Linked DNA regions of Bombyx mori. Each later gene encodes a partner of the first gene's protein in a complex. Links are inferred from orthologs where the notes say so. Each region holds a gene or a part of one and is shown in the gene's direction. Other genes may lie near its edges.

The links. Proteins that work in one complex are often made in the same cells at the same time.
Region 2: dynein axonemal assembly factor 10 (region 1) and prefoldin subunit 2 share a complex: the UniProt entries of both Homo sapiens proteins name them as parts of the PAQosome complex. The link is inferred for Bombyx mori from reciprocal best matches to the Homo sapiens genes DNAAF10 and PFDN2.
Region 3: dynein axonemal assembly factor 10 (region 1) and prefoldin beta subunit share a complex: the UniProt entries of both Homo sapiens proteins name them as parts of the PAQosome complex. The link is inferred for Bombyx mori from reciprocal best matches to the Homo sapiens genes DNAAF10 and PFDN6.

What each region holds. Positions count from the first base shown.
Region 1 is NC_085131.1:9,119,405-9,123,165, reverse strand, and holds the start of dynein axonemal assembly factor 10, read left to right. Parts: upstream 1-1,034; 5' UTR 1,035-1,136; coding exon 1,137-1,420; intron 1,421-1,502; coding exon 1,503-1,630; intron 1,631-1,978; coding exon 1,979-2,196; intron 2,197-2,958; coding exon 2,959-3,081; intron 3,082-3,761. UniProt on the Homo sapiens protein: Key assembly factor specifically required for the stability of axonemal dynein heavy chains in cytoplasm.
Region 2 is NC_085129.1:193,817-197,577, forward strand, and holds the start of prefoldin subunit 2, read left to right. Parts: upstream 1-1,548; 5' UTR 1,549-1,904; coding exon 1,905-2,038; intron 2,039-2,120; coding exon 2,121-2,418; 3' UTR 2,419-3,761. UniProt on the Homo sapiens protein: Binds specifically to cytosolic chaperonin (c-CPN) and transfers target proteins to it. Binds to nascent polypeptide chain and promotes folding in an environment in which there are many competing pathways for nonnative proteins.
Region 3 is NC_085112.1:4,987,477-4,990,517, forward strand, and holds prefoldin beta subunit, read left to right. Parts: upstream 1-1,536; 5' UTR 1,537-1,667; coding exon 1,668-2,036; 3' UTR 2,037-2,525; downstream 2,526-3,041. UniProt on the Homo sapiens protein: Binds specifically to cytosolic chaperonin (c-CPN) and transfers target proteins to it. Binds to nascent polypeptide chain and promotes folding in an environment in which there are many competing pathways for nonnative proteins.

The sequences.
Region 1 (3,761 bases):
GTTCCAAAGACAAAAAGGGCCCATAATGCCAAGTCTATTGTAACAAAAAATCGAACTGAAGGACGGAAAGTGATTTAAAAAAGAAGAAAGATTTTTCAGAGGTTTTAATCAGGTTAAAATTTGAAATGATAATTCAAGTATTAACCTTTTAGTGTCTCTAAAACTTATGAAGGGTAGAAAGAAGTAAGGAGCACCATCTTGAGTAGGGGAGAAGCTGAAAAATGTTAGAAGATTACTGGTGGTAGTACGTCTTATGAGTCCGAACGGGTAGGTACCACCATCCTGCCTATTTTTGCCGTGAAATAGTAATGCGTTTCGGTTTGAAGGGTGGGGCAGCTGCTGTATTGTTCCTTACAACTCATGTCTCGAGGTGGGTGGCGGCATTTACGTTGTAGATCTACGGGCTGCCGTTACCACTTAACGCCAAGTGGACTGTGAGTTAGTCCCCCATCAAGGCTTTATAAAAAAGAATAACTAAATTAGCGCTAGTCTAGGAAATGGAAATGATAGGAACATGGGAGGCTTAAGCAGAGTGAAGTGTGCTGGGTTGAAAATTTAATATTTTTTGAGACTTGCGTAAAATATTATATGGACTTTTTGGCGGGAACGCAAGAAGTGAAATTGTGTGATTTGTTTTATTTTGTCTATTTAGTGTTTCTTCAGGTTTAAATGTGTAATAACGGTGGTTTATTAACAGTTTAATATATGTGAAAGTGGACAAATCTGGGAAAATGAAACAAAGCCGCTGGACGTAACTTCTCGGGATCCTCCAACAAGTCCGCTGAAAAAATCTCAGTAAATGAATGACCACCACCATTTTACTGATATTTCATCCCACATCATCTCATTTCAATTCATTTAATTTCATCCCAGTTGATTAATGTCTCAAATTACCTAATCATCTTCATTCACTCCATAATATTTATAATTTTTCATAAAAATAAGAATACTAATTAAAATAAGACATGACCTAAAAGTCTTAGTTACCAAGTCATAAAATCTTTTAAAAAAAGCAATATTATGTGGCCTATGATGCTGTTGCCTAGCAACCAAAAACCAATGCTGTCTGTCACGTTTGTTTTCGCTAAAGATTCGCATAAACCTTTGAATATTTCTTTTATATCTATTTTTAAGTCATGGAAGAATTGAATACCCCCCAAATAATTACCCATATTGAAAATAACTTAAACCATTCACTATTTGATTGCAAGTGGATACCATGTTCGGCTAAATTTATAGTACTTGGTTCTTTACCGAAAGGCTCGGGTACCATTGAAATATTTGAAATAAACGCCGGAGAAATTAAGAAAATAAAAGAAATTGAGAGGTCTAACTCGTTTAAATGTGGAACGTTTGGAGCAAGTAGCGACATTGAGAGACGATTTGCTACTGGAGACTTTAGAGGCACTTTGGAAGTATGGTTTGTAACAAAATCATAAAATCCATACTTTTTCCGGATAATCATAAAAATCGAATGTTAATAAATAATTTATTTTCTATAGGGACTTAGAAAAAGGTTCCCAAGTGTACATAACAAAAGAACATTCAGATATAATTAACTCAATAGATGGGATGGGAGGTAACACAACCAACTGTGGAGCTCCTGAAATTGTAACTGGCAGTAGAGATGGTAAGGTTTCATGCCAAGGATTATCCTGTTACATTAAAGGGTACTCGTGTGGTGATGAGTAGATTTTCTAAATCAATATTACAATACCTTCTAAGATTTGACTACCATTAGCCATGTTGACATACTGGGATAGTTTTTTTTTTATCCTCATCAGATTTTGATTTTGTCCAAAATATTTACAAATTTTATACACAAACCTTTCTCACACTTCTATTTATATCTTTGAAAATAGTATCAAAATTTGTTAAGTCATTTAGAATAAGTAATCAGAGAAACAGACATTGGGTTTAAAACTCTTTAGGAAAAATAAAAATGGTAGTGATAACATAATAATTACTGAAATTATAGGAACAGTAAAGGTTTGGGATCCAAGGCAAAGAGGTAAACCTGTTGCAAACATGCAACCAATGCAAGGTGAGACTAGAAGGGATTGCTGGGCTGTTGGCTTCGGAAACTCATTTAATGATTCTGAAAGGATTGTAGTTGCTGGTTATGACAATGGAGATCTTAAAATGTTTGATTTGAGAACAATGTCACTTAGGTGGGAATGTAATTTGAAGAATGGAGTAAGTATGTAATTTCAAGACTAAATTTAAGATTTTTATGTCACAACTCGCAATAGGCATATTATACAACATGCATGATAAAAAGTTGTTACTGAAACCTGTTAACATCAGTAAATACAGGGTCATTACTAGTTGTATAGTAGCAGTAGTTATTCACTTTAATCTTGTCCTAAGAAAGATGTGTTATATTTTTCAAAAAGTCACAGTAGTGGGGGAGGGAGTTCATTTTAATTTTAATGTGAGTAATTATTTAAGAAAACATCAACACAATTGAAGTAAATAAATTCAGTTAATCTCGAAATTTTTATCATTATCTCAACTGGTACTCTGATGAACAATGACTTGTTATTATCTGTGTGTGTTTTAATTCTTTGTAGTTTATGATATATCCTAAATTAGCTTGATAGGTTGTTTTGCAATAGAGATATATATTTATATAACTGGTGGTAGGACCTCATGTGAGTCCGCACAGGTAGGTACCACTACCCCGCCTATTTCTGACGTGAAGCAGTAATGCGTTTCGGCTTGAAGGGTGGGGCAGCCGTTGTAACTATACAGAGACCTTAGAACTTATATCTCAAGGTGGGTGGCGCATTTGCATTATAAATGTCTATGGGCTCCAGTAACCACTTAACACCAGGTGGCCTGTGAGCTCATCCACCCACGTAAGCAATAAAAAAAAAAATATATATATATATATATATTAAATTATATCTAAGTCAAAATTAATAGATAAATATTGAAGAATTTTTGTTTGTTTAGGTATGTTCCTTAGAATTCGATCGTAAAGATATTCCAATGAATAAATTAGTGGCAACCACACTTGAAGGGAAGTTTCATGTTTTTGATGTGAGGACTCAAAATCCAACTAAAGGATTTGCTCAGGTAACCTAATGTTTTACTGACCAGCAAGGAATGTCTTTGAGAAATAAATATGAAGATTGCATGCAATGCAGAGCATTGTTAAATTTGAATTTTCCTACCCCTGCCTTATCTATTTTTACCACCATTAAATCACATGTTCTGGTGTATACTATAGTACAGCTGTTGTTCCAATTTCTTTGAAAGTTTATCTACTCTATGTATTTGGCAGAATTCTTCACATTGCAGTGTCTGTTATCTCAGCAATAGATGGGCTGTATCTCTATTCATCAGAATCCATGGACCTTAATATATTAAAAGCACAATCTATAGTTACATCAGTTAATTTAAAAGTCGTCGTGGCCTAAAGGATAAGACGTCCGGTGCATTCGTATCGAGCGATGCACCGGTGTTCGAATCTCGCAGGCGGGTACCAATTTTTCTAATGAAATACGTACTCAACAAATGTTCACGATTGACTTCCACGGTGAAGGAATAACATCGTGCTATAAAAATCAAACCCGCAAAATTATAATTTGCGTAATTACTGGTGGTAGGACCTCTTGTGAGTCCGCACGGGTAGGTACCACCGCCCCGCCTATTTCTGCCGTGAAGCAGTAATGCGTTTCGGTTTGAAGGGTGGGGCAGCCGTTGTGACTAATACTGAGACCTTAGAACTATATCTCAAGGTGTGTGGCGCATTT
Region 2 (3,761 bases), on another chromosome or scaffold:
TCTCTTGTTCAATCACAACCACTTGGAACATCCTACTCCCGACTAGGCGCGTTAACACTTCCGCCTCCGCCATTCGCCTCTTCATCATGTACGACCAACCCATACCGTCGGCCCCGAAGGTCAAATACTTAGACGTCACCCTCGACAGAGAAATGACATTCCGCCCCCACTTGAAGACGGTACGTGATCATGCCGCCTTCATACTAGGATGTCTCTACACTCTCTATCCGATGATATGCAGGCGAAGTAAATTATCCCTTAGAAATAGGGTGACACTCTACAAAACTTGCGTACGCCCTGATATGACCTATGCAAGCGCAGTGTTCGCTCACGCGGCCCGCACTAGCTTAAAATCATTCCAAGTTATTCAATCCCGTTTTTGCAGGATAGCCGTCGGAGCTCCACGACGACCTGGACTTAGAGTCCATCAGTAAGTATCTTCAGTCGGCGTCAATGCGCCACTTCGATAAAGCGGCACGACACGAGAACCCTCTCATCGTGGCCGTCGGTAACTACAATCCCGATCCTGCGGTGAGAATGGAAAGCTGTCGACGTCGCCCCAAACACGTCATTTCGGATCCTCCCGATCCACTAACAGTGCTTTTAAGTACCTCAAGCACCGGTCATCGTTCTCGTCGAACCCGTCATCGTTCTCGTCGAACCCGTCGCTTGCGACGAAGGGCTCGACGAATAAAGTAACCCTCAGACACAGCCCACTGAGTTTCTCGTCGGTTCTTCTCAATGGGTCGCGTTTCCGATCAGGTGGTAGATTCTGCGAAGCACGGCTCTTGCTAGGGTTTGTGTTAACAACATCATCCGGCTTGAGCCCCGTGAGCTCACCTACTAGTTAAGGCGACACTGATATAGCCTCTCAAGGCTATCAGCATAGGTAGGAAAAAAATAATCTAATCATACTTACTTGGCGTAGGGATACGGTGATCATGCAGGCGGTTTCCCCCAGGGTGAGGCTGCTCCATTGCACTATGGAGTGGTTGACCCTTGCGATAATTTTTATTTTTTAAAGGTTTCACTTCTACCGTGTGTGACTTGCACACACGTCACACATACATTTTTTTTTTCTTATCTAAGCTGGGTATTACGGATAAAATGTTCCTACCTATAGTCCTAACCTTGCACCTTCAGACTTCCACCTGTTTCGATCTCTTCAGAATTTTTTAGGCATTGTCAGGTTAACATCACGAGAGGACTGCCAAAACCAATTGTCGCGGTATTTTGATCGGAAGCCCCATAGCAATGGGATCATGTCCCTACCTACAAGATGGCAAAAAGTTATCGAACAAAATGGTACCTACATACTTTAGTTAAATGTAAATAAACAATATTAAAAAATGTGAATTTTCTTAAAAAATGCGAAGAAACTTTTTCCCCAACTATTGTACTATTAGAACTTAGTAGTTTAAATTTTATTAGTAATAGACAAAGACTTTAATGCTTTTAATCTAAGGATTAGGATATTATCAAAATACGTCCCAAAAATGCTTTTTAAATATAATAGATGCTTTTCAGGAGTTGGTTGTCATGACTCAAACTTATCTCAAGTGTTTCACAAACTATGGTCACAATTTATTTGAGGGTAAAGATTTTCTTGTGAAGTAATAAAAAAAAAAATTGCCTAAAAGGTAAAGTAGCCAGCGTTCGCAAAAAAAAAACTGACATGTACATTAATGTACATAACCTAATCCGTGTATTCGATAAAAACTAGTTAATTTGAGTTTTTGTTAATTTAAAATACATTTACATGTTCTTTTATTTTTAAAACTTTCAGTAAACCGTGATTATTTTTACTTTTCAAAGAGAGTTAAATTGATTACTCTTTTTTTAAAACTATATAAAAAAAAATCCTAAAATTTTGATTTCCATTTCCCCTACCTACCTAGAGTAAAATGGCTAAAAATACATCAAAAGTAGGAAAAAAAACGAATGAGGAAATCTTTGCTGGTTTCCAAACTCTTCGTAATGAACAACGTCAATTAGGGAGTAAAATATCAGAATTACAAATGGAGTTAAACGAACATAAGTGAGTAAATGTGGAATAAATCTATTGCATATCAATCTACTGCTTAAAAAAATACAAAATACATAGTAAATTATGTCTACAGGATCGTAATTGAGACTTTGCGGGGAGTGGAGTTGACCCGTAAGTGTTTCCGGATGTTTGGGGGCGTGCTTGTCGAACGCACCGTAGCTGAGGTGTTGCCAGAGCTGATCAGCAATTATGAACAGCTACCTAAGGCCATCCAGTCCCTAGAAGACCAACTCACTCAGAAGGGAGAGGAGATCAATAAATACATTGAGGAACATGATATTCGCATCCAACGTGCTGATCGCACCATGCCTGAACCACCTCCAGAGCAATCCACCTCTACCAAGTCTAATGTGCTAGTTGCTAGCGGTTAACTATACTGATCCTTTCATTTCATATAGCTGTCGCAGTGTATTGACAGTGAGACTAGTCCTACATTTGCCTAAAGCAGTGTGAGGTAGTACTGGGAAACTTTTTATTATTAACAATACTATTACGGTGTGGCTTGATAAATTAGTTCTGGCTGATGTTTAGGGGCAAGGGGGGCAAACATGGTATTATGAAGCAGTACTTTATGAATATGATGACAAGAAAAGGAAAATCTAACTGAATATCCATCTCAACCAGATAAATAAATCATTTTAGTGTGACAATACTCCAAGACACTTAACCACATATTTAAAGAAAGGAATACTACAGCGAAAACTCCACAGAGAATAATTAATTCCCCAGCTGAATGTGCTCAAATAATGTGGAATTAAACTCAATAAACAGTTTTTTCAGGCAGTAGAATATGAACCCTTGTCTAGTGGAAAGTAGTATGATAATAAACTTTAATAATAAAATAGATCTTGAACAACTTTTCAACACTTTTCATGGAATATGTAATACAAATGCAGAGAAGCAGTCTCTTTGTCCCAACAATTATGAGAATAGCTTCATTTAAGAAGTCAAGACAATATGGAGTTTTTTGTTGTTGTCCTCACCATTCTTTAACAATGTCTAAGGTGACAGTGATATATTTCTAATCAAAAACAATAAGCTTTGAATGTTTAAACTCTAAACATTAGAGTAATATATGAGAGAAAAATAATTTAAATAGTAAAATGTTTTCCACATTGTGCTATATGTATATTCCCAATGCTGTCACAGCATCTGAAGCTCACCTATGCAGAGTCAATGTGATTGGTAGGCAACTGTAATAAGTAGAAATATCACTGAAACCTTGAGAGTATTGTTTAACTGTGTACATAGCTTTAAGGTTTACTGCTATTTTGAAGTGTTTGGCCAGTTAACAAGCCTGAATGCCTGAATTTTTCATTTGCCCTTGCCCAGACGAGCATACGGCTCACCATTGCCAGGGGTAGAGCCAACTTACTGCCAACAATTTGAATGATATACTATACGCATGTCCGAGTTCAGAGATGAACTATGGCAATCAGGTAATAACTTTGTGTAAAAAGTCTCAACTGAAAAGTTAATAAGTTTGGATAATTTATTACTTGCACCATACTCTAAGTGAGCATGGTTAGATTATTACCTTATTTCTATGGACAACTATACAATATAATTAAAACTTCCTATACTCTTAGCAGGATGGTGACATTCATAATGTTGTCAGAGGTCTGATAAAATTTTAATACCAGGTGGGATGTCACAATAAAACAGTGACAACTTTTTCTGTTTCATCAGGTGAATTTTAATATGATTATAAAAC
Region 3 (3,041 bases), on another chromosome or scaffold:
AAAATCTTCCATTTTTTCTAGTTTAATAGTAGAATGTTGAAAGTTCACAAAACAACTCTGAATATGCATGATAATAGCTGCTAACTTATAAAAAATCGCGTTTCAAATTAACTTCCTGTGGTGGTCATTATTTTGGTGCTAGAAACTTTGCTCTCTTTTATTTATTTGATATTAATAGAAGACGACTGTGATTTATACACGTTATTTAGTGTTTGAGCCATCATATATATTAAAGGTAAGTCTCAGTTGTTATTGGTTTTAATGTATTTGATAAAATAAAAATACATGTAAAAATCTGTTGTTTTTGGGGATATTGGGGACGTCTTAGGTACAAATAACAACGAAAAAGGGGTCAATTGGGATGAGAATACGTGAAATGGAAACGAGCTGAGTATAAATAGGTACAGGTTTGTAGGGTTGTCTATGTAGTTATAACAATATTTTTTAAATTTGTTGGTAAAAATCTTGTTTATTCATGATGTTTTTGTCTAGAACTTTTATTCAAAATTATCAATGTGTTATTTTATTGTTTGGTAAATACTTATATTATCAGTTACGTACTGTTTTCTATTTTTAGATAATGCCTCGCGTGTACGTATTAAAGAGTGCAAAGCCTTAAAAGAGATATGATCCCTTAATATTAAAAACAGCAATAGAAGCCTTTGAAATTGGGAATAAGTCTTTAGTTGAAATAGCTAAGCAATTTAATATAAGTAAGTCGATTTTGCACAGACATCTAACAAGAACAATGAAATGTCAAGGTGGACAAAAATGTCTAAGTAATACATAGTAAAATATTTAATATTTGTTCAGAGTGGGGGTATTCATCTGATTAATCCATGGAATAACCAACACACCTAATCTCTTAACCCAGATAAAAATATCAGCCCCTAAGTACTTACCAAGAACGAAAAAATATAAACCGTTTATAAGAAAGCTTACTCTCCTTTGGGACTACAATAATGTCCACGGTAGCATGGTCTCCGTCAATGTTCATTCGGAGTTGTCCGATTACGCTGAACTAATTTTAAGTGATGAAATAAATTTTTTTTAATTGTATCACAACTTACAGGACAAATCTGTCGCGGATCATTTCTCAAGTAAATATAAATTAATCATAAGTAAATAAATGTAATCAAGTTGATGATCACTTTGTTGGTGCAACTAAATAAATAAATAAATTAAAACCAAGTAGTGGCAGCCCTAGCAAATTTCTCATTTCGTCCCAATTAACCGCAATTTTCGGGTAAATAGGGATTACACCTATTTTTGCTTTTTTTGCTTAAACTGGAATGCTAGTTGCATAGTTTTAAATTGGACAACAAAGATGCCCCCAAGACTCAATCATTTCGATCCTGATATAGCATTATATACATCAACATCTACCTTAAAATTGGTCATAAAGTTGGAATTTGTCCCTAATCGCCCCATTTTACCGGTACGTAGTGACACTTGAAATTTTTTGTGTATTATCTATGGTTAATTTCAAAATCAATGTCAGACAAATGACAAAACCATAGAGAATACACACATAACCCATAGATTATACACTTAATATATTTGAGACATAACCTCAACTAAAATTTTTGAGCAGGTGAAAAAAAACGGAAAAGATTTCTGTATTAAACTGTTTATTTTCTATCAAATCATACCTTGACTGAAACACAATGGCGGAAGAAATACAAAAAAAGTTTCAAAAACAGCTCGAATTATTTCAAGGTGTTCAAAAAGACATAAAGAAAGCGGTCACTCAGAAACAACAATTAGACAGCCAGTTAAATGAAAATAAAGCAGTCAAAGAGGAACTAAAACTCTTAAGAAAAGATTCAGAGGTATACAAACTCATCGGACCCGTATTGGTGAAGCAAGATTTGGAAGAAGCCAGACAAAACGTCTCCAAACGTATGGAGTACATTAGCAAAGAAATCAAAAGAACAGATGATCACATATGTGCTTTAGAAAACAAACAAGAAGCACTGCAAGAAAACTTAAATAAACTTAGAAATGATCTTGGCAAACTAAAACTAAAAGCTTGAAAAATGTGTGAATTAAAAGTAAAATATTTCTATTCTTCTATTATGACTCACTTGTATGTTTAGAGAACTACTATTACAAATAAAAATATTACACATTAATAATTTAATGTATGTTTAGCTATGCAATAATCATGAAAAAACTGCTGTGTGGCATTACACTAAACTTACCTCTTCCTTTTGTTAACTCAATATAAAAATAAAAAATCTTACTGAAAGTAAGTTTTTATTTTACTGCCATTGCAGGCAGATGTTTGTGGCCCTCCTGATGTCACCATCACTCATAGACATCAGATATGCCAGGAGCACAGCCAAACTGCTGCCTATTATTTACTTATTATTTATTTTCAAAACTAAAATATTTTGTTACTTGTACATATTTATTTTTGTGTGTATAAGCTGAAAGTTTGCAAGGTAATTGACGGTATAATGAGTACCATTAGTTTTGAAACCAGATTCATCTTAGAATAATTGTTCGCTTCTATTACCAGTAGTTTTGTATATTAACCTAAAACCATATGACAATCTAAAAAAAATTGGGTAATTTTTTGTTTTTAAATACCTATTACAAATGTTATGTATTGCATTTGTATACAAATGGTCGGCATAATTTAAGCTGGCAGTGGAGAAAGTGCACAAATGTAATTTAATAAACTTATTCTAATTATGTTTCCAATGATTTATTCAATAATTAATACTGCTCATAAAGAATACAGGCATAAAAAAAATTGTGTCTTGAATCTCAACATAGTGCAACTTAATCACGTTCAAGATACTCATTCTCCTGCATTAAGCTACATAAAGCTAAAGGCATTGAAGTTACAATGTGTCACTATAAAAAAAATACACATTTATAAGCTTTTGTACCCAATTTAAGAATTATATTGTTCCTAATGAATCCCAAGAAACTGTAACTTTAGTATTAATAAAGTTTGTAACTTTCTAAAAAAAATACCTTTTCTTTTTATGCAGTCTACATTTCTTGAGTCACTGTTCATTACTGAATTA